Linked DNA regions of Lonchura striata. The protein of the gene in region 1 interacts with the protein of each later gene in a biochemical or structural test. Links are inferred from orthologs where the notes say so. Each region holds a gene or a part of one and is shown on either strand. Other genes may lie near its edges.

Evidence for each region.
Region 2: the proteins of MAGI3 (region 1) and ADRB2 form a complex in vitro, tested with the Homo sapiens proteins (2 studies listed by IntAct, with this or other methods). The link is inferred for Lonchura striata from reciprocal best matches to the Homo sapiens genes MAGI3 and ADRB2.

Annotation. Positions count from the first base shown.
Region 1 is NC_134632.1:5,996,626-6,006,195, forward strand, and holds the start of MAGI3 (membrane-associated guanylate kinase, WW and PDZ domain-containing protein 3), read left to right. Parts: upstream 1-5,571; 5' UTR 5,572-5,650; coding exon 5,651-5,972; intron 5,973-9,570.
Region 2 is NC_134617.1:1,907,811-1,917,025, reverse strand, and holds the start of ADRB2 (beta-2 adrenergic receptor), read left to right. Parts: upstream 1-5,259; 5' UTR 5,260-5,312; coding exon 5,313-6,486; intron 6,487-9,215. UniProt on the Homo sapiens protein: Beta-adrenergic receptors mediate the catecholamine-induced activation of adenylate cyclase through the action of G proteins. The beta-2-adrenergic receptor binds epinephrine with an approximately 30-fold greater affinity than it does norepinephrine.

The DNA.
Region 1 (9,570 bases):
CCAACAATAGGAAAAGAGGCAATGGGCAGAAACTGATGCACAGGAAGTTCCACCTGAATATGAGGAAGAACTTCTTTATATGTGAGTGACACAACACTGGAACAGATTGTCCAGAGAGGGTGTGGAGTCTCTCTCATTGGAGATGATTAATGATCTGTACACAGTCCAGTGCCATGTGATCTGGTATGACCCTGGAAGCAGAAAGGTAGGACCAGATGACCCACTGTGGTCCCTTTCAACCTAACACATTCTGTGATCTGTGATTCTGTAATTCAGTAGCAGTGGCTCTGCCACTGGTCCACTGGTCCTGTCACACTTGGTCCTCGCTTCCTGAATTACTCAGTCTTGCTTGCCTCTTTCAGCCATGCACTTTACTGCATTCCTCCAGCCTTGTTTATTCTTCAAAGCATTAAGTTCTATATCTAGACTTAAACACTCCATTACTACATTTAGGTTCTAAATCCAATATGTAGACTTCAAACTCTTGCTGTAATTCTGTACAATGTCACTGTGTGACTCTCCCCTCAGTGTTTGACTGGGCCTTTAATCCCCTTTTTGCATTCATTGGCATTGGCGGTGTTTGATCACATCATCTGTGTCCCAGACCAAGTAGTGGAGGGGTATTTGTGTAGGTTGCTTCTTTATTCAAAATGACAAGTCCTCTTAGTTCATCTCGTTAATTTTACCGTGGCATCCAACTGTACTTGGAACAGGCACGTGACAATCTCTGTAGTTAATTTTTAAATTTACTCTGGAATTTTTGACTCCTGTTGGTGAGGCACAGAGGAAACAGCAAAGAAGATGAAAAGTGCTTGAGAGTATATGACTGTATGTCCCGTAGATCCCTGCATGACACCTGCTCTCAGAAATTATTCCCCTTGTTTCAGAAGTGCCTTTATTTGTTGTTCTCCTCCCCCTCCTTTTATTTTTTTTTTTTTTTTGGCCAGCTTGAGGATAAGTGAACACTGCTGTCATTGTACAAAGCAGTACAACTCAGGTCAGAGGCAGACTCATCCCTTGACCAAGCTTTTAACCTGTTGGCAGTTGTTTGTGTTAAGCAAACAAACAATTTTCTGTCAGTTTTCCCCCATATTCTCCATCGCAGGGTTACAGAGCTTCCTTCAACTGAGTTGTCTTTCATTTAATGAGTGTTAGTTTAAAAGGATTTGTGATGTTTCAGTTGCAAAATGATGTTGAATATGCAGCTGGAAAATTGAGGCATACAGAGGATCTGTATTCACTGCTGATTTACTGTAAAATCTTGGTTGAAACATCTAAAATTCCCAGTCCAGAACTCTTGCTGTTTACAGGATTCCTGAGGAAACATTCAACACTGTTCTCTGCTCTCTGATGATCAGTGATAGTAGTACTGAAGGCACAACATGGAACTGTGTCAGAGGAAGTTTAAGCTGGATATTGGGAAACAGTTCTTCTCCCCATAGGGTGGTTGGGCACTGAAATGGCTCCTCAGGGCAGAGCAGTTGTCATGCCCCAAGGCTGCCAGAGCTCAAGGAGTGTTTGGACAACACTCTCAAGCACATGGTAGGATTTTGGGGTTGTCCTGTGCAGGGTCAGGAATTGGACTTGATGATCATATTCTATGATTCTCTGATTCTATTGTATGCAATGATCAGTAGTTCTGCATTGCTCGAGAATGGTTATTTATATGTGAAAGAGGAGCAAAGAAGGATATACGACTGTGTGGATGCTATTCCTGCTGGTACAGCCTCTCATTTGCCTGCTGTGCTGATGTGTTTATGAAATACAGGCAGGTTTATGATGCAGCTTTGCATCAGCGAAGAATGCATTGATCCCCATCTACAGCCTGCTGGGTTGATACATTCTCCTTTCCCAGGTGAGGAGCACAGACACCAGGGATTGGTGTCTGCCCAGGGTGACAAAGACTTCTCTTGAGGCTTGAGTTTATTCTCTAAGCTTTACAAAATTCCCTGGTAAGGTCTGGTTCCACGGCAGCTTCTGCTCCTGTACAAGTTAATTTATGACATGTTTTAAAGTTTGCCTTCAGATAAATGTCTCTTAGAGTCACACAGTTTTCAAATAGACAGTCCTGGATATGTCTGTCAACAGAACAGCAAGTGCCTGGCTTTGAACCACTCTTATTCAACTGTGATTTGTTTGTGCTTCCTCAGAGGCATGGAGCTTCCTGAATAATTTCTGACCCTGTGTTTGAGATGAGGGCTCTGTTAGGGAATAACACTGTGCCCACTGCTGCTTCCTGGCAACTGATTTTGTTTTCAGTTAATGCAGTGGAGTTAACCATCACTTGTTGGTTCTCCCAAAAGCTGTAAAACATTGTGGTCAGGTAGTGGTGTTGTGAGAGAGACAGAGCTCCTGTGTGCCCAGTCACCAGGAAAATAGGAAATAACATCCTTCTGCATGAACAAATGCCATCTCTGTATCAGTGCAACTGGCTTTCATGTCATCCTTGCTGAGGAAGAAGGTGTTCTTATTTTGTGTTTGTGCATGTTGTGTGAGTATTTTGCCTCTGTGGCACAGGATTGCTGACCTATACGTCACACCAAGATTTGCATGGCAAGCACTGGGCATGAGGAAAAGGGCTTCAGAGGAATCTAAACACAATACCACAATTCCTTTCCTAACCACTCTGAGACAATATGTCTTCATGCTCTAATTAAACAGCGGTTTGACATGTTTTTGCTGTTTTGATTGCCTTTGAACTTTGGCAGTGTGATAAACAAACTTTACTTCCTTTCCTACCAAAAACTGTGCTGCCTTAAAAGAGTTTATGTCCTTCATTCTGGTGTGACAGATCTTAGCATCCTCTTCTTGTGGCATTCTGTATGTGCTGATGCCAACAGCAGAGTGGACTGGCAGCTGTCACAGTGTGATGGGTGATGAACCAGGGATGCTGGAGCTCTGATGTTTCTTTGATAGCCCCTTTTAACTCACTGAGAGCTCCAAACATTAATGATTTCTCAGCCCTCAGCAGGTCACCACTGGTGGGGGTGCAAGGGCACATTCCTTTCTGATCGTGTCCAAGGCTGTGCAGACACTTCATGTGTCTGGGATACGTGATGAGTAATATGGAACAAGAAATGAAAGCAAGACAAATGGACTAAAGCTGTCAGCCAGTTCCCAGGCAGCCCGTACATGTTTCGAAGTTTGTTCATGGAGAGCAGGAGGAATATCCTTCATGTAATGTACAATGAACTTGCCCAACTTGCTAGCATAATAAAATTTGCAACAATTAGGCAGCTTGTTTTGGCTTTTAAGTTTATATGGAAGCATACTCTTAAAGACAACAGTACTTTCATTGCAGAACAGCAGTTTCATTGGTTTTTTTACCAGTGTTATTAATTGGCATATGTCAGTATTTTGGAGCTGCCCTCCATTTCAGGTGTGTAAATGCAGTGCACATTTCAACCCAAGGTTTGAAGTCTTGGCCAGTGAAAAGACTGAGCTGTAATTTCCTAAGGTGAGGGCTGGACAAACCTTCTGCTTAGGGGGAGGGACAAACTTCCAACCCTTGAGCCAGTCAGACACTCATCTCTTCCTTGAGATATCCACACTGTCTGCACAGGACTCTGTGTATTCTCTGGAACATCTGGCAAAAGCTACCATCAGCAGCTCATAAATTACAGCTCATGCCTGATGTCACAATTCCCATGTGAAAAACTGAAGACCTGTTTTAAACAATGTGACAGTGTCTCTTTTAATGTCCAGTTCACAAGCTTTCAGCCTTTTTGCTTCTATTCTGCAAGCGTGAAATAAAATTTATCTCTGGTGGCTTTTTCCATGCCTGTTGGCAGGCAGCCCAGTGCGCCTCAAATAGCAGCGAACACGATGAGCTGAACCTGTGCTTGTAGCATTTGGTTAATGTCCCCAAAAAAAGTATGGATTACATTGTTTTACCCCAGCAAGTAAGATTGGTGTTCTTCTGACTTCTTTGGAAACATTCTTGCTTTTTTTTTTGTAAAAGCCATAGACTACTAGGCCTTAATGGTAGACAAATCTCTAAGAACTGGAAAAGGGAAAATTTCTGGTTGCAGAAGTTACTGTTTTTTGTTACGAGCAGGTTTCTTAGTGGTTTCACTTACTATTTATCGCTGCAAAATTCAGTGTTGAAATCTGATACTTCTAACACACTGTGTTGTCCAGACTGAGGTGAACACAGGGACACAGCAATGGGAACAAAAATCCATTGTTTTACAACTCAGCAATTATTCTTTAGGCTCTGCAGGCACCAGCTTCTTCACTTCCTCCTACAGAAAAGAAAGCAGTACTTCAGTCATAGCTCTTTATTTGCAAACAGTGGCAAGGTTATACTTTCTCAGGACTCAGATTTTTTTCCAGCCCTGCTGCTCCTTACAGACTTCAGCCCACTGGGCACAGCTGGAGCCTTCAAGATGCTCCTAAAACATTGTAGACATCACAAGAGATTTGCAGTGAAAATTCAGCCTCTGATTAAGAGAAAAAAATTTGAGGACTGGGCAGTGAATTTTGCAATTTGAACCAGAAAGCTTTCAAATAATTATTTTCCAGCTTTTATAGCAGTGACACTGATTTTGAATGAACTTTCCTCTGCTTCATACTTTTTAGTGTTTCCTTTCTTCGGCAGCTGCACTGTGCTCCCAAATGCTGGAATGTACATGTCGCATACCTGGCGTGTAATCTGCACCTGGCATGAGTTAATTGCTATGCTGAGTTCTGTGAATCACAGCTAAATAAACAGGCTCATGTGAAGAGAAAACCCACTGGATTTGTGTTTCCAGTTGAAAAAGTATCTGCATGTTTATATTTAAATTGTTCCGAGCTCTGTTTTGGCCTGAGGTCATCAAACTACTTTGAACCAACTGGTTCCAGTGGCAGTAGCCATAGGAATGCTGGGAATACACAGGAGTGGTCTCCGCCTGTCTGATTGTGCAGGCACTAAGTGCAAACATGAGAGCAGATTATGGACACCCCACCTCAGCTCTCACACCTATCTCAAACCCAGCTGCCAAGGGGGTCTCCTGGCTAAGGGGTGACCCTGGCTGAAGGTAAACTCTTCCTTAGGTGGGAGCTGACTGGGAGCTCTTAGCTGATAAGGCCCTGGCTGAGGGGAGCTCCTGTCTGAGGAGAGATCCCGACAGAGATGCTGGGTGACAGGAGACCCTGCCTGGGATGGGCACTGACTGAGGAACTCCTGGCTGAGGAGAGATCCTGCACGACGCAAGCCCTCGCTGAGAGCGACCCTGCTGCAACGGGCGCTGGCGGGGGAACTGCCGGATGAGGGGGTATCTCGGCCTAGGCGGGCATTGCCCGAGGGGCTCTTTCCGGGCGAGGAGGACACACCCGGAACGTGCCGCAGCTCCTGGGGGTCCCGGCGGGCCAGGTCTAAGCCCCCTACGTGCCCCGGCTCGGCCTGGCCCGGCACCCGCGCAGCCTCGGACCGGCAGCCCCGCGCCAGGGCCGCGGCCAAGGGGCGGCAGGGCGCGGCGGGCCGGGAGGGGCGCGGCCAGCGAGGCAGGCAGGGCGCGGCGGAGACGGGAAGAGCGGAGCCTGGCGGGGAGGGGCGGCGGGGCGGCGCGGGGCGGGGCGGCGCGCTGGGGCGGCAGTCGGGCGGCAGCCGCGGCCGGGGCGGGAGCGGCGGCAGCGCGGGGTGGGTAGGGTCGCCCCGTGTTGCGGCATGTCCAAGACGCTGCGGAAGAAGCGGCACTGGCTGAGCAAGGTGCAGGAGTGCGTGGTGTCCTGGGGCGGCCCAGCGGGCCCCGACCCCGATCTGCTGCGCGGCGGCGCCGAGCGCGGCGAGTTCCCGTACCTGGCGGGCCGGCTGCCCGCGGGCGGCGAGGACTCGCCGGGCCCCGCGCTGCTCTCGGGCAAGGCGCCGGCGCCGGGGGACGTGCTGCTGGAGGTGAACGGTACCCCGGTGAGCGGCCTCACGCACCGCGACACGCTAGCCGTGGTGCGGCACTTCAGGGAGCCCGTACGCCTCAAGACCGTGCGCCCAGGTGAGCGCCCTCCACCGCCGAGCTGGACCGAGGCCCTCCCGCCGCCGCCCAGCCGGCCGCGCGTAGGCCCGGCCGCGCCGGCGCCCTGGGGCGGCGGGAGGGCCGCGGCGGGGAGCGGCGCCCGGAGGCAACCGGGCGGAATCCGGGGCGCGGGTGCCCCGCTGGGAAAGTTTCCGCGGGTTCGGGAAGGCGCCGCTGCCGAGAGGGGTGATGCAAGGCAGGAGGCGGTCCCGCAGTCTCGGGGCGGCCTCAGGACGGTGCTCTCTCCCCAGTCCCGTCCCGGTAGCCTCTCCCGAGGGTCCTCTCCCCGTCCGGAATGCCCGGCTTCGCGATGCAGCGTTTGTGCGGGTGTGACCCTCGCGGGGCTCTGGGTGACTCAATGGCCCCTGGAGGGTCTGGTGCCTGCGTCCTCCTCTCGGAGGTGCAGGAGGTGCTTTCCGTGGTGTTTATATAATCCGCTGCTTGCAGAGGTCGAGGGTGGGTGGGGAATGGCCGGGATGGAGCACCGGAGTGCCATCGCTTCATCCTCTTAGTTTCCCACTTGGCAGAGATAAAAGCCCTGAGAACAAACTCCGGCTGTTATTTTTTCCACAGATTTGTATTATTTTTGAGTACACTTCAATTAGCTAGTGCTTGTGGTAACATCATATTTATCAACGTGCCTGTTAAATGTCAGAGTAATGCTGAATAGTGGCGCTTGCAGCTGCATGAGTTAATTCATGAGCTCCAGAGGTACCTTCTGCTTTCTTGGTCAGGCAAACCAGATGTGAGCCTGCTGCCTTATAAGAAGGTGTCTTGGGAAAAAGTATTTTTCTCTGAATCTCAATGGATATCAGTATCTCTATTATTAGGGTCTATAATATTTCTCCTAGTGCTTCTTTGCTGAGCACTTGTCTTGTTCTTCTTTGGTAACTGCTGGGTGCTCTCTGACTTCATGTAATATGTATTTTAAGTCGGGTTTTCCCTGTTTGACCACTAATGGAAAGTCATGTTCCATATAGAGATTGTGCTGTTGGTCCTGATTCATATAACTTGCTAAATTAAAGCAACAATCAAAAAAAAATCCCATGAAACAGACACACATCTTAGAAGCCTGGTAGGTTTTGAAAAAGGTCTTTATTTACAAAATTGGAAGTCCCTTCTGAAGGGAGAAAATGTAAAAGAAAAAACAGCTGCAAGTTAGATGTGAACTAAGAGGATTTTAAAAAGAGAGACAAATTGTTTAAGATAAAAAATAATCTCTTTTTAAAAGAGAAAGCTTGTGAAAGATGAAATTATAGTTCATAGGGATTTCTTGTATTTCCTATGGAGGGAGTATTCTTGTGCTGGTAATTTCTTAACAGCAATGTCAAACTGGCAAAAAATATTTAGAAGAAATAGCTGCAATTAGCAGTAGAAAATGGCAAGAGCTAGATGATGTTCATGAGGGCTTCCAGGTATTAACAGTAGTGCATTGCCTGTTCCTTAAATTCTGGGTGGTGTGAAAGGGAGAGGAGTGGGGAGTATAGAGTACTGATAAGAAAAGAGTCCAGAAGGTCAACAGAGGCTGGTTGGTGATTCCAGCAAGTTGATTAAAATTTGAGTTTTAGAAGAGAAATAGAACATTGGGCATGTGAACCAATACCACTTAATGAGCAGAGTGGGCTGCTTTCACTGGCTGGTTTAATCAAATCCGAGTATTTTGGTGAGGTGGATTTTCAAATAGGCTTTCAGTAAGGTATCACTGACTTGGATGAGTCTCTTGCTGAGTGAGCATGGTGTGGCAGTGTAGCTGCCAAAATAGAAGAGCAGAATTCTCCTGTGGCTTAGTAACTAGTTAAAACAGAGGAATGGTTTCTTCAACAGAAGAAAACTGCTGCTGGAGTCTTGTAAGGACCTGTGCTGTTTAGCATAGTCATCCAGAGCTTGTAAACCTGATGCTGGTGAGTTGTACAAAGAGAAATAGCATTTTTGTGCTGATTTTATGTAACTTTTGGAACAGATCAAACAAAATCTTCAGAACCAGCAATTTTTCCCATACTGGAGCATATGTACCGCATCAGATGATTTTTGTAGTCATTTTCTCAGTTAGATTTAGTGTCCTTGAATACAGTATTTTAAAATATACTGGGTTTTGGTTGTTTTTTGCAAGGCTGCCACAGCTGCACAATGGCAATTTTCCAGTCAGGGTATATGTAATTAGGGAAGTTGTTGACAAGGCATTCTCTGTGAAGACCTGTGACTTTGAATTTGGCTTCCCTTTTGATCCAGAGCTATCCAAACCCGCCAAGTTTTGGAAGGCGTCTGGGAAGGTGCATGTGACCATGCAGGTGGTTGAGATGAAGGGAGTGAGGGCCAGGAGCTGGTGGTCCCTGGTAGGCACATAATACGTCTGAATTCTCAAAGACATGTAATTGTGTTACTGCATTTCAGGGTCCTGTGTTTCATGATTTTCCTCAGTCAAAACTGAAACCATCATTTGAAAGGCATGGAGTGCTCTGCCAGCAGACCTTTGTGTGCCCCATGGCTCTTCAGGCTTGGGTGCTATTGGGATAGAAGTCCGAGGGAATCTAGTGTCAGGGACTGACAGTGAGGGATTTGTCTCCTTGAATCTGAAGTGTAGGGTGTTTCTAAGGTCTCGATGCCCACAATCTGCCTGTGCATTTTAAAGGGTGAGTTTGGTGCTCCATCTTCCAGGTGAAGTCTGTGCAGGTGACCTGGTGGCTTTGAACAGCAGGATCTGAACTGCTTTAGTTCAAGTCATAATATAGTCACTCCTTCATTAAAAGGCAGTAACAGCTTTAGTTGACAGTAGTAAAATCTGTGATACTTCTTGCAAGCTCATAGAAAATTTAAAATGGAAATTTCAAAATGCTGTTTAGGCTTGTTTAATAAGACATTTGAAGGATATGAATGTTAATTGGAATGCCATCTGTTAATTGCACATCACAAACAACGGACCATTTTGTTGATTGAGGAATTTGTCCTTCCCATTCTTGTCCTATCTTTATTACAGAATTACAAAATCAGCCAGGTTGGAAAAGACCTTTGAGATCATCAAGTCCAACCTATGACCTAACAGCGTCTTGTCAACCAATGCCATGGCACTAAGTGCTATTTCCAGTTTTTGCTTATGCACCTTCAGGGACAGTGACTCCACCACTCCTTGGGCAGTCCATTCCAATGCCCAATCACCCGTTCTGTGAAGATGTTCTTCCTAATGTCCAACCTGATTAGCTGAGTATCAGGGCTGAGTATCGTGTTCCATGTGAGGATGGTGTCAGGTGTGTACAGACTAGCCAGAAAATCTACAGGTCTCTTATCAATGGGGATTGACTCAGCATAGTCTGTGGAAGTCCAGTGTTGAGTATTCTGCCAGTGGCACTTGGGACTGATGCTGGGATCTAAGCTGTCTAAATAAAACTTAAATTCTAGATGAACTTTGAGATGATAACTGTACCTCTTTTTATGTGTAGTTCGTTATCATCATCTTGATTAGATGTGCAAAACAGACATACAGAGAGCTAGGGCAGCTTGTCCACTGGGATATCTGTATAGATGTGCACGCAAGCTGCCAGGGGCCAGCTCATCCTAATGAGTCCATTTGTATTTTAGCCAT
Region 2 (9,215 bases), on another chromosome or scaffold:
GCAAGCAGCAGCAGCGCTGAGTGATGGATGGGCAGCTCAGTGGTGATGAATCCCCGGTGCTCAGCTGTTCCAGCGGTGTCAGGTTCCACACAAAGCCCCTCGCTGTGCTCCGGGGTCATCGCCGTGCCCGGCAGTTTCCCTTCCCTCGGTCTGCTCTGAAACGCAGCAATTGCTTCGCTGTGAGTGCTGGGGCTGCAGGGGTTAAAATCTGGGTGTCCCACACTCGGGTACCCCGCAGGTGCACGGGGAGGACCAGAGCACCCCCAGCCCTGGTGCAATGTCGGAATTTGAGCTATTGATGATTCCAAAATTGCAAAGAGTCTCTGTCTGTCAGCCCCCATGCCAAAGCAGAAGCCAGAATTGGTCTGTGCTGGTTTCCAGGTTGTTTATTCTGTTTATCTCTCACATGTTCTGCTGCCCTGCCCAGCTCTGTCCTGCAGGGCAGCGTGTGGGGCTCTGCCCTCAGTGGGATGTGACAAACATTCAATACCAGAAACTCCCTGGGCTGCATTTACAAGAACGTGCCAATATCTGTCACCTACGTTGGACAGTGTGTCCCCAGCCTGAACCAACAGAAAAATGCCAACACCACAGTGACACATGGAGGGCATGAAGAAGGAGAAAAAGGACAAGGCACACCCAATTTCCTCCATCTTGTCCCCTTTGGACCCCTCATCTAGAATTCTAAAATTTTACTTTTGTGCCACACTTAATTAACACTTATATCAAACCCTCAGAGCTAGTAATTAATGCTGTAAGATTGAAAACTCTTTTCCATGGCCAGAGATCACAGGCAGTGTCTCTGGGGGCTCTGTCCAGGGGGTTCCTGACCCTGCCAGGGTCCCAGGGCAGCCAGAGGGAAGCTCTGGGTTCCCACAGTGAACCAGGTCCTGCTTTGTTCTGTTCCCTTTCCCACCCTCACAGCACCCTCGGGTGGGGTCAGGTGGGGACAGTGGCACCTGTGGGAGCAGCTCCAGGGTCAGGCAGCCGGTGGCACCTGTGGGAGCTTTAGGGCAGCTCCAGGGGCAGGCAGGAGCTGTCCCAGGCCCTTCACACCGCCCTGCACCCCCCAGAGCAGAGCAGAACCCCCCCACTGCCCCTTCCCCTGCAGGGCACGGGGTGGGCACCGTCCCGGGGGGCAGAGGTGGCAGCATCACCCCCTTGGACCGAGGCTGGAGCGTCTCTGTCCCCTGCACTGCCCCTCCTGACCCAGGGCAGTGCAAAGGGGACCCTGGGCTTTCCTCACTGACAGCCCAGAGCTCCCCCCTGGCCGTGCAGGGAGCTCCGGAGAGAAGGGAGCAAACAAAAACTCAATTTTATCACTCAAACCCTCTTCTGACTGCGCCGGTCTTCCCGACAAGGAGAAGGGAGAGATTAACCAGGAGCTGCAAGTCAGGGGTGGCTCCCTCTCATGGCTTGGAGGGACGGAGAGGAAAATCAATCAGGAGCCAGGAGGCTGCACTCTGATCCCCCCAAAAACCTGCACAGAGCACCCCGACCCTGCTCTGAATCTTGAGGGAGCCTAAAGAATCATGGAATGGCTTGGGTGGAAGGGACCTTAAAGATCACTGAATTCCATCCCCAGCCACAGGCAGGGACACCTTCCACCACCCCAGGTGGCTCCAAGCCTCCTCACACCCTTCCCTGCGAGGAATTTCACAAATTCCCCTGCTGCCAAACACCGCTTTTGTTGAGGATTGTCACTTCCAAGCTCTTGCCAAGAGCCTGATCTGGCCAGGGTATTTAATTCCAGTTTGTGATAAACATCTGGGCAGGCACACAGCATCCAGCTCCTCACAGTCCTCAGGAAAGCCTTCCATGCCAAAAAGACGGGCTGTTTATTCCAGTTCTGTCAGTTGGGCTGATAAAAGTGATTATTTCTCTCTCCCAGCCCTGCTTTCTCATTGATCCCACAGGCTGCTCTTCAAATGTCACTCAGCGAGCAGGGAGAAGGTATCCAATTATGGAAAGGGAAAAGATCAGCGTGATGACAAAGCACCAGGGCCAGTGGGCCATGAAACAAATGAGATCTGTCTGGTTCTGACACCCTCCAAGTCCAAGGAACCCAGAAGGAGGCATTTTGGGCCTCTCCCCTCCAAAAAAATTCAAACTGAACTGTTCATAACATCTCTGAGGTTTGGTATTATTTTTGTTCCAATATGAAGCCTTGAACCTGATGGAAATCTAATAATTGCTCAAAAGCACAGGTAAAGTCATGCAAACCTCACAAGCCAGTGAGACTTGGGGTGATGGAATTTATTTTTATGTCAGGCAAATTCCTTCCTTTTTTAGAGCCTGTGGTCACTTGTCCAACTTACTGAGGGCCACAGATGTGTTGTCAAAGACAAAAATCATCTCAAGCCCACCCGAAAAGGTGAGCAAAGATTGCCGGAGAGCAAATCAAGGAACAAAAATCAGCTTTGCCCTCCTTCCTCCAGCACAGCCTCTTGTCCAAAGCCCAGGCTGAGATTTCTTTGAACAGAGTACAACAAAGACAAAATACCGAGCTGGAGACGGGGCTGGCTGATCCCTGCAGCCTGGGCACAGAGCTCCAGAGTCCTGGAGCTGCCTCTGGAGAGGGATTGCAGAGCCAGGGCTGCCTTGGGTAAAAGCCTTGTTACAAAGCAGGGAACTCGCCTGTGCCTCTCTCAGAGCAGCAGTTTCCCACACATCCCCAAATCTGCTTCTGCTCCTGCCAGGACCCAGTGCTGAACATCTGTAGGATGAACATCCTTATGTTTATCAGGAGAGGGGACTTAATTCTTTAGGAATGCTTGGATTTGGTGTCAAAATGCTCAGGAACAGCCCAGCAAACTCACCTGGTCACTACCTGACACCTCGAGTGCTTCTTAGAGCTGTCACATCAGCTCTTACCAAAAAAAGGGAACAGGGAGCTGAGGATGAGGTGTAGTTCCCACAATTTCTCCTTTTCCTCCTGTTTTTTTCTTTCCCACTACTGCACTTCCTGCACATCCTTGCTTTCCCAGGAGCTTTTGGCCGTGTTTTCCCTGCAAGGTGGGAGCTGCTGGCCTGGGGCAGAGGGTGGGAATGGACATTGCACCCAGCTGGGCTCGCCGAGCCCCTGTGGGGCACAGCCCTGCTGGGGTGAGGTCTGTGAAAGCCTCGGGGCCACAGAGTGAACCCAGCAGGTCCCAGCTCTGCCTGGCTGTGTGTGTAGGGAGGGATGGCCCCGTGTGCCTTATTTATCTTACGGGCAGGGGAAGCTCCAGGTAATCAGCTCAGATGGTGAGCTCCTCCCAGGGTCCCTGCTCTGCCAGATGTCTGCAGTGGGAGGGGGGTGACTTCTGCATCTCCTGTTCCTTGTCTCTTCATTTTTAAGCCTCTGAAGCGTGTGGATGCAGAGGTGGAGTGTGGGGAGAGCAGGGAAGCCGCGGGTTCAGGGCAAGACAGACACTTCATAACTGCCTTTAATCTCGTTTCCTGATTCCAGTACCTCATCTGCCCCTCTGGTTTAAACCACCAAACTTCCTCCCTCCCCTATAAATATCCCCAGCACAGCCAGGGCATGGCATGGACACCCAGCAGGCTGTGGTGTGGGACAGTGGGGCAAAGACAGCCAAAAGTGGGGAACCTGGCCCTGGCACCCCAGTACTGCAGGAAAAATGAGGCAGAATGATGAAAACGCATCAGAACCCAAGAGCTGATGAGTTTCACATAAGATTCACCATTGATAAGTGTTTAATTGCTGACAAAGGCAGGAGTCTGGCACTCCTGTGCCATGGGAGGGCCACAGAGCTGCATCCAGCCAGGGACTGACCTGCAGCTGCTGCTGCTGGCATTGGGGTAATCTGGGTGAAAAGAATTCTTTATTTTCTCCCTTTCTGTAGTACCGAGCTGTTTTAGAACCACAGCTTTCAGCTGAAACCTCTGAAAGCAGCCAGGGCCAGCAGAGTGAGATGGGTCTCTGGGAAAGCAGTGCTGCTTCAGAGGGATGGCAGAAATGAAACTCCAGAGGCAGCGTTTTATCTCCGGACAGGCTAAAAGGAAGTTTTCAGGATTCCTTAGCTCTTATTTAGCCAGTTTGTTTGTTTTGGAGGGGAGTGCTTGTGATAGTGTCGGGCTCTGAACACGTGCCTGGCTGCAGCGTGGCCAGCCACAGTTTCCAGTGGTCACTCCCTGCCTGGCCAGTGCTCCCAGCACAGTTAAGGGCTGTCTCTACCCTTGAGCAGCTCTGGGATTCCTGTGGCTGCTTCACTTGGATGCGCCCCACAACTGGGGAGCAGCAAGAGCACCGAGCTGGCGACTGGCAGGGACGGGGACACGGGTGACATCCTGCCACGAGGTGCCACCAACGCCGGTGGGGTGCCAGGGGCTCCCCGAGTCCTCGGGATGTTCCTGGCGCTGTGCGTCCTGCTGAGCACACGGGGGGCACGGGTGGGGTGGGGACACCGTGGGGGGACATCAGTGACGCGGGGAGAGCACTGCGGGCAGAAGGCGCAGGGACACGGCGGTGCCTGGAGCACATCCCGGGGCGGGGACGGGAGGGCACCGCGGGGACGGGGGAAGGGAGAACCCCACGGGGAAGGGGGAAGGGAGAACCCCACGGGGAAGGGGGACGGGAGGGCACCGCGGGGACAGGGAGTGGGGAGAGCCCCCGGTGAGCGCACCCCGGGGCAGGGAAGGGAGAGCACCGCGGGGACGGGGAACGGGCACGGAGCTGGGAGAGCCCCCGGCGAGTGCACCCCGGGGCAGGGGGACGGGAGGGTACCTCGGGGCAGGGGGAAGGGAGAGCACCGCGGGGAAGGGGAGCGGGCGGTCAGCGCACCCCGGGACGGGGACGGGAGAACCCCGCGGGGAAGGGGAGCCCGCAGTGAGCGCACCCCGGGGCAGGGAAGGGAGAACCCCACGGGGAAGGGGAGCCCCCGGTAAGCACACCTCGGGGCAGGGGGAAGGGAGAGCACCGCGGGGAAGGGGAGCGCGCACGGAGCGGGGCGAGCCCGCGGGGCGCGGGGATGCGGCCGGCGGGGCGGGGACACGCGTGGGGCAGGCGGGGGTGGCCGCGGGGTGCGGGGGGGCCGGGGTGCGGTGCCGGCTGCCATTGGCTGCGGCGGGCTGATGTCACGGGCTGCTGTCACTTAAAAAGCTCCGCGGCGCCTAACGGGCTGGGACACGGGCTGGGACACGGGCTGGGACGGGACGGGAGCGGAGCGGAGCGGCGCCGGTGCCCCAGCGCAGCGGCCCCGCGCCTGCCCCGCACCTGTCCCGTATGCGCGGCTCCCGGAGCGGCGCCGCGGCTGCGGAGCGCTGAGCGGAGCCGAGCCCTCCCCGCCGCCCCGGGGCTGCGCCGGGCCATGGCCGCGGCGGGGACGGAGCTGCCCGGCGGCAACGCCAGCGCCAACCAGAGCGCCGCCGACCCCACGGTGTCGCGGGACGTGTGGATGGTGGGCATGGGCATCCTGATGTCGGTGATCGTGCTGGCCATCGTCTTCGGCAACGTGCTGGTGATCACGGCCATCGCCCGCTTCCAGCGCCTGCAGACTGTCACCAACTACTTCATCACCTCGCTGGCCTGCGCCGACCTGGTCATGGGGCTGGCCGTGGTGCCCTTCGGCGCCTGCCACATCATCATGGAGATGTGGAAGTTTGGGAACTTCTGGTGCGAGTTCTGGACCTCTTTGGACGTGCTGTGCGTCACGGCCAGCATCGAGACCCTGTGCGTCATCGCCGTGGACCGGTACTTCGCCATCACGTCCCCGTTCAAGTACCAGAGCCTGCTGACCAAGGGCAAGGCGCGCGTGGTCATCCTGGTGGTGTGGGTGGTGTCGGGCCTGACCTCCTTCCTGCCCATCCAGATGCACTGGTACCGGGCAGACCATGAGGACGCCATCCGCTGCTACCAGAACGAGATGTGCTGCGACTTCTTCACCAACCAAGCCTACGCCATCGCCTCCTCCATCATCTCCTTCTACCTGCCCCTCGTCGTCATGGTCTTCGTGTACGCCAGGGTCTTCCAGGTGGCCAAGAAGCAGCTGCAGAAGATAGACAGGAGCGAGGGGAGGTTTCACACCCAGAACAAGGAGCAGGAGCAGAAAGGGGGAGCCGGGCACCGCCGCTCCTCCAAGTTCTTCTTGAAGGAGCACAAGGCCCTCAAAACCCTGGGCATCATCATGGGCACCTTCACGCTGTGCTGGCTGCCCTTCTTCATCGTCAACATCGTGCACGTCATCCAGGACAACATCATTCCCAAGTACCTGTACATCCTCTTGAACTGGCTGGGCTACGTCAACTCTGCCTTCAACCCCCTGATCTACTGCCGGAGCCCCGACTTCAGGTACGCCTTCCAGGAGCTGCTGTGCCTGCGCAGGTCCGCCCTCAAGATGTACGCCAACGGCTACTCCAACAGCAACGGCAGGAGCGACTACAACGAGGAGGACAACGGCTACCCCCTGGCCCCGGATAAAACCTGCGACTTGCTCTGCGAGGAGGGCTCCTTCCCTCGCCCCGAGGATTTTTTGCACGGCAAAGGTACTGTGCCCGGCGGGGAGGGTGCTGGGGGCTCGGGCGGGGGGTGCACAGAGGAGCCTTTCCAATGAAAATCAACCTCCTTTCGTAACGAGAGTGATTGTTTTTTAGAGAGCGCCTAAAACCTAACAGCTGCAAGAAACCCCAAACTCAAACTCTGCAAGCTGGCCCCTGGCAGGGCGGAGGGGCTGCTGGCAGCCCCCCCTGGTTTGGGGCACGACCCGGGGGTCCCTTAGCAGGGTGGGGGACGCCAGGCTGTGCAGGATGCTCGTCCCCGGAGGGATTTCTGGCCGTGGCCGGGACTGAACTGGCCTGGCACTGAACTACCTCATGACCTTGTGGGAGCTGGGAGCGGGGCTGGACCCCCCTGCCCGGTGGGACCGCTCCCGGTCCCCTTGTCACATCCCCGCTGGTGGCTGTGGGAGCCCTCCAGGCCAGGAGGGCACCTGGGGCAGGGGTGGCAGGGTTGTCCAGCCCGGGGCACTTTGCGGAGATGGCAAAACCCCTGAATTTGATCTGCGACAAACCGGCGGGGAAGGGATGCAGGCAGCGGGGCAGGCTCGGGGCTGCCGGCGCTGGGACAGTTTGATCACCGCCCAAAAACTGCGAGTGCTCTGCGGGGTTTTGTTTTGCCGAGTGCCACAGGACTTTCTGCAGGGGAAAAAAAAAATATAAATAAACGGAATCGTTTGCCTAGAATGTGAACCTGTGACTGTGGGACTCAGGAATGTGGCACTGGGAAGTCGGGTGACACGCGGCTACAATCACAGCCCAGCCAAAAGCTCGTAAAGCGCCCGGTTTGTTTAACTGCGAGGCTCAGATGACAGCGAGCCCGGGGAGGTGGGACGGGAGGAGGTTTGGATTTTCCGTGGCACCCTGGAAGCGCCGCTCCGACCGCGGCACGGCTGCAGGTCGCTGGGGTTGGGTGTGGAGGGGGTTTGTCCCGTGTGCCAGGCTCTGCCAGGTGTCCCCGGGACAGGACAGGACAGGACAGGACAGGACAGGACAGGACAGGACAGGAGAGTCCCTGCCTGGAGGGGGCAGCAATTTGGGCTGGGGGCGCACCCCGGTGCCGGAAGGGTGTGCAGTGCGGGGTTCTTTCAGGAATACTCGGGAAAAGGGCAGGAAAAGCTGCTCCCGGGACCTCTCGGGCCGTGGTGTCCCGGGGAATGCTCGGGCGTGCGGAGTCCCCGCATTTCCACGCGCTCTCCCCGCACCACGGTGATGTGATGTTGGTATTGGTGTTGGTGTCGGTGTTGGTGTCGGTGTTGCTGTTGCTGTTGCTGCTGGTGTTGGTGGCGTTGTCGGCTCGCTCCGTGCTCAGTTTGGGGGTGTGGGGGTCTCTGGGTGCCCAGGGGACCTGGGTGGGTGGCGAGCGGCCAGCCCGGGGCTGAGTCCCGGTGCAGCAGGAGGCAGAGCGGCTTTGGGGCAGCGCCGTGCCCCGTCCCGGAGGAGCCGGGGTGGGACGGGGGCGGAGCGGGTTTCTGGTTACCGACACCCCCGGCCGTGCCCGTGTGGCCTCGGCTGCTCTGAGGACTCGCCCCGAGCGCTGGTGCCCACAGGGCTGGAGGGGAATCCCCCCGGACGGGCAGGGAGCACGGGGGGTGTCAGCCTGGGGACAAACTGCTGGAGCTCTCCGGGTACAACGCGGGGCTCCGGGAATTCCTGCTGCTCCTTTTCCCAAAATGCTGCTGATCCTGCCTGGGAAGGAGGAGCAGCGCTAAGAGCCCTCTCCTCCCCAAGCTGTGACTGACTCGGCTCCTGTTGTCGCCTCGGCACCGAGCGGGGCCAAGGAATGTGCCGGGAGCGCTTCCGTGCCCTCCGTGCTGGCTCGGGAAGGATGCCAGCCGTGCCCCGGTGTGGTGTCACGGTGAAGGGATGCCAGCCGTGCCCCGGTGTGGTGTCACGGTGAAGGGATGCCAGCCGTGCCCCGGTGCCCCGATGCGGTGTCACGGTGAAGGGATGCCAGCCGTGCCCCGGTGCAGTGTCACGGTGAAGGGATGCCAGCCGTGCCCCGGTGCGGTGTCACGGTGAAGGGATGCCAGCCGTGCCCCGGTGTGGTGTCACGGTGAAGGGATGCCAGCCGTGCCCCGGTGCCCGGGGAGTGGCACGGGAAGGGTGCGGTGGCACGGTGACACTCGGTGGCGTGAGCGGCCGCAGGGCAGCCCCCGGGATAAACATTAAGAGGGCAGGAGCGGCGCTGGCAGGCGCTGCTCGCTCCGCGCTGCACCAGCGCTGAGAGTGCGGAGCTGTGGGCTTGGTGTAGGTACACTCGGTGTAGGAACTTGGTGTAGGAGTACTGCTCAGTGTAGGTACACACTCGGTGTAGGAACACATTCAGTGTAAGAACACACTTGGTGTAGGAACACACTCAGTGCACGTACACACTTGGTGTAGGAACAGAGTGTAGCACTACTCAGTGTGGGTACACACTCGATGTAGGAGCACACTCGATGCACGTACACACTTGGTGTAGGAACACAGTGTAGCACTACTCAGTGTGGGTACACACTCGATGTAGGAGCACACTCAATGCACGTACACACTTGGTGTAGGAACACAGTGTAGGAACACAGTGTATGAACACATGCGGTGTAGGAACGCAGTACAGGAACATACTCAGTGTAGGTACACACTCACTGTAGGTGCACACTCAGTGCAGGTACACACTCAGTGTAGGAACACATTCAGTATAGGAACACAATGTAGGTGCATACTCAGTGCAGGTACAC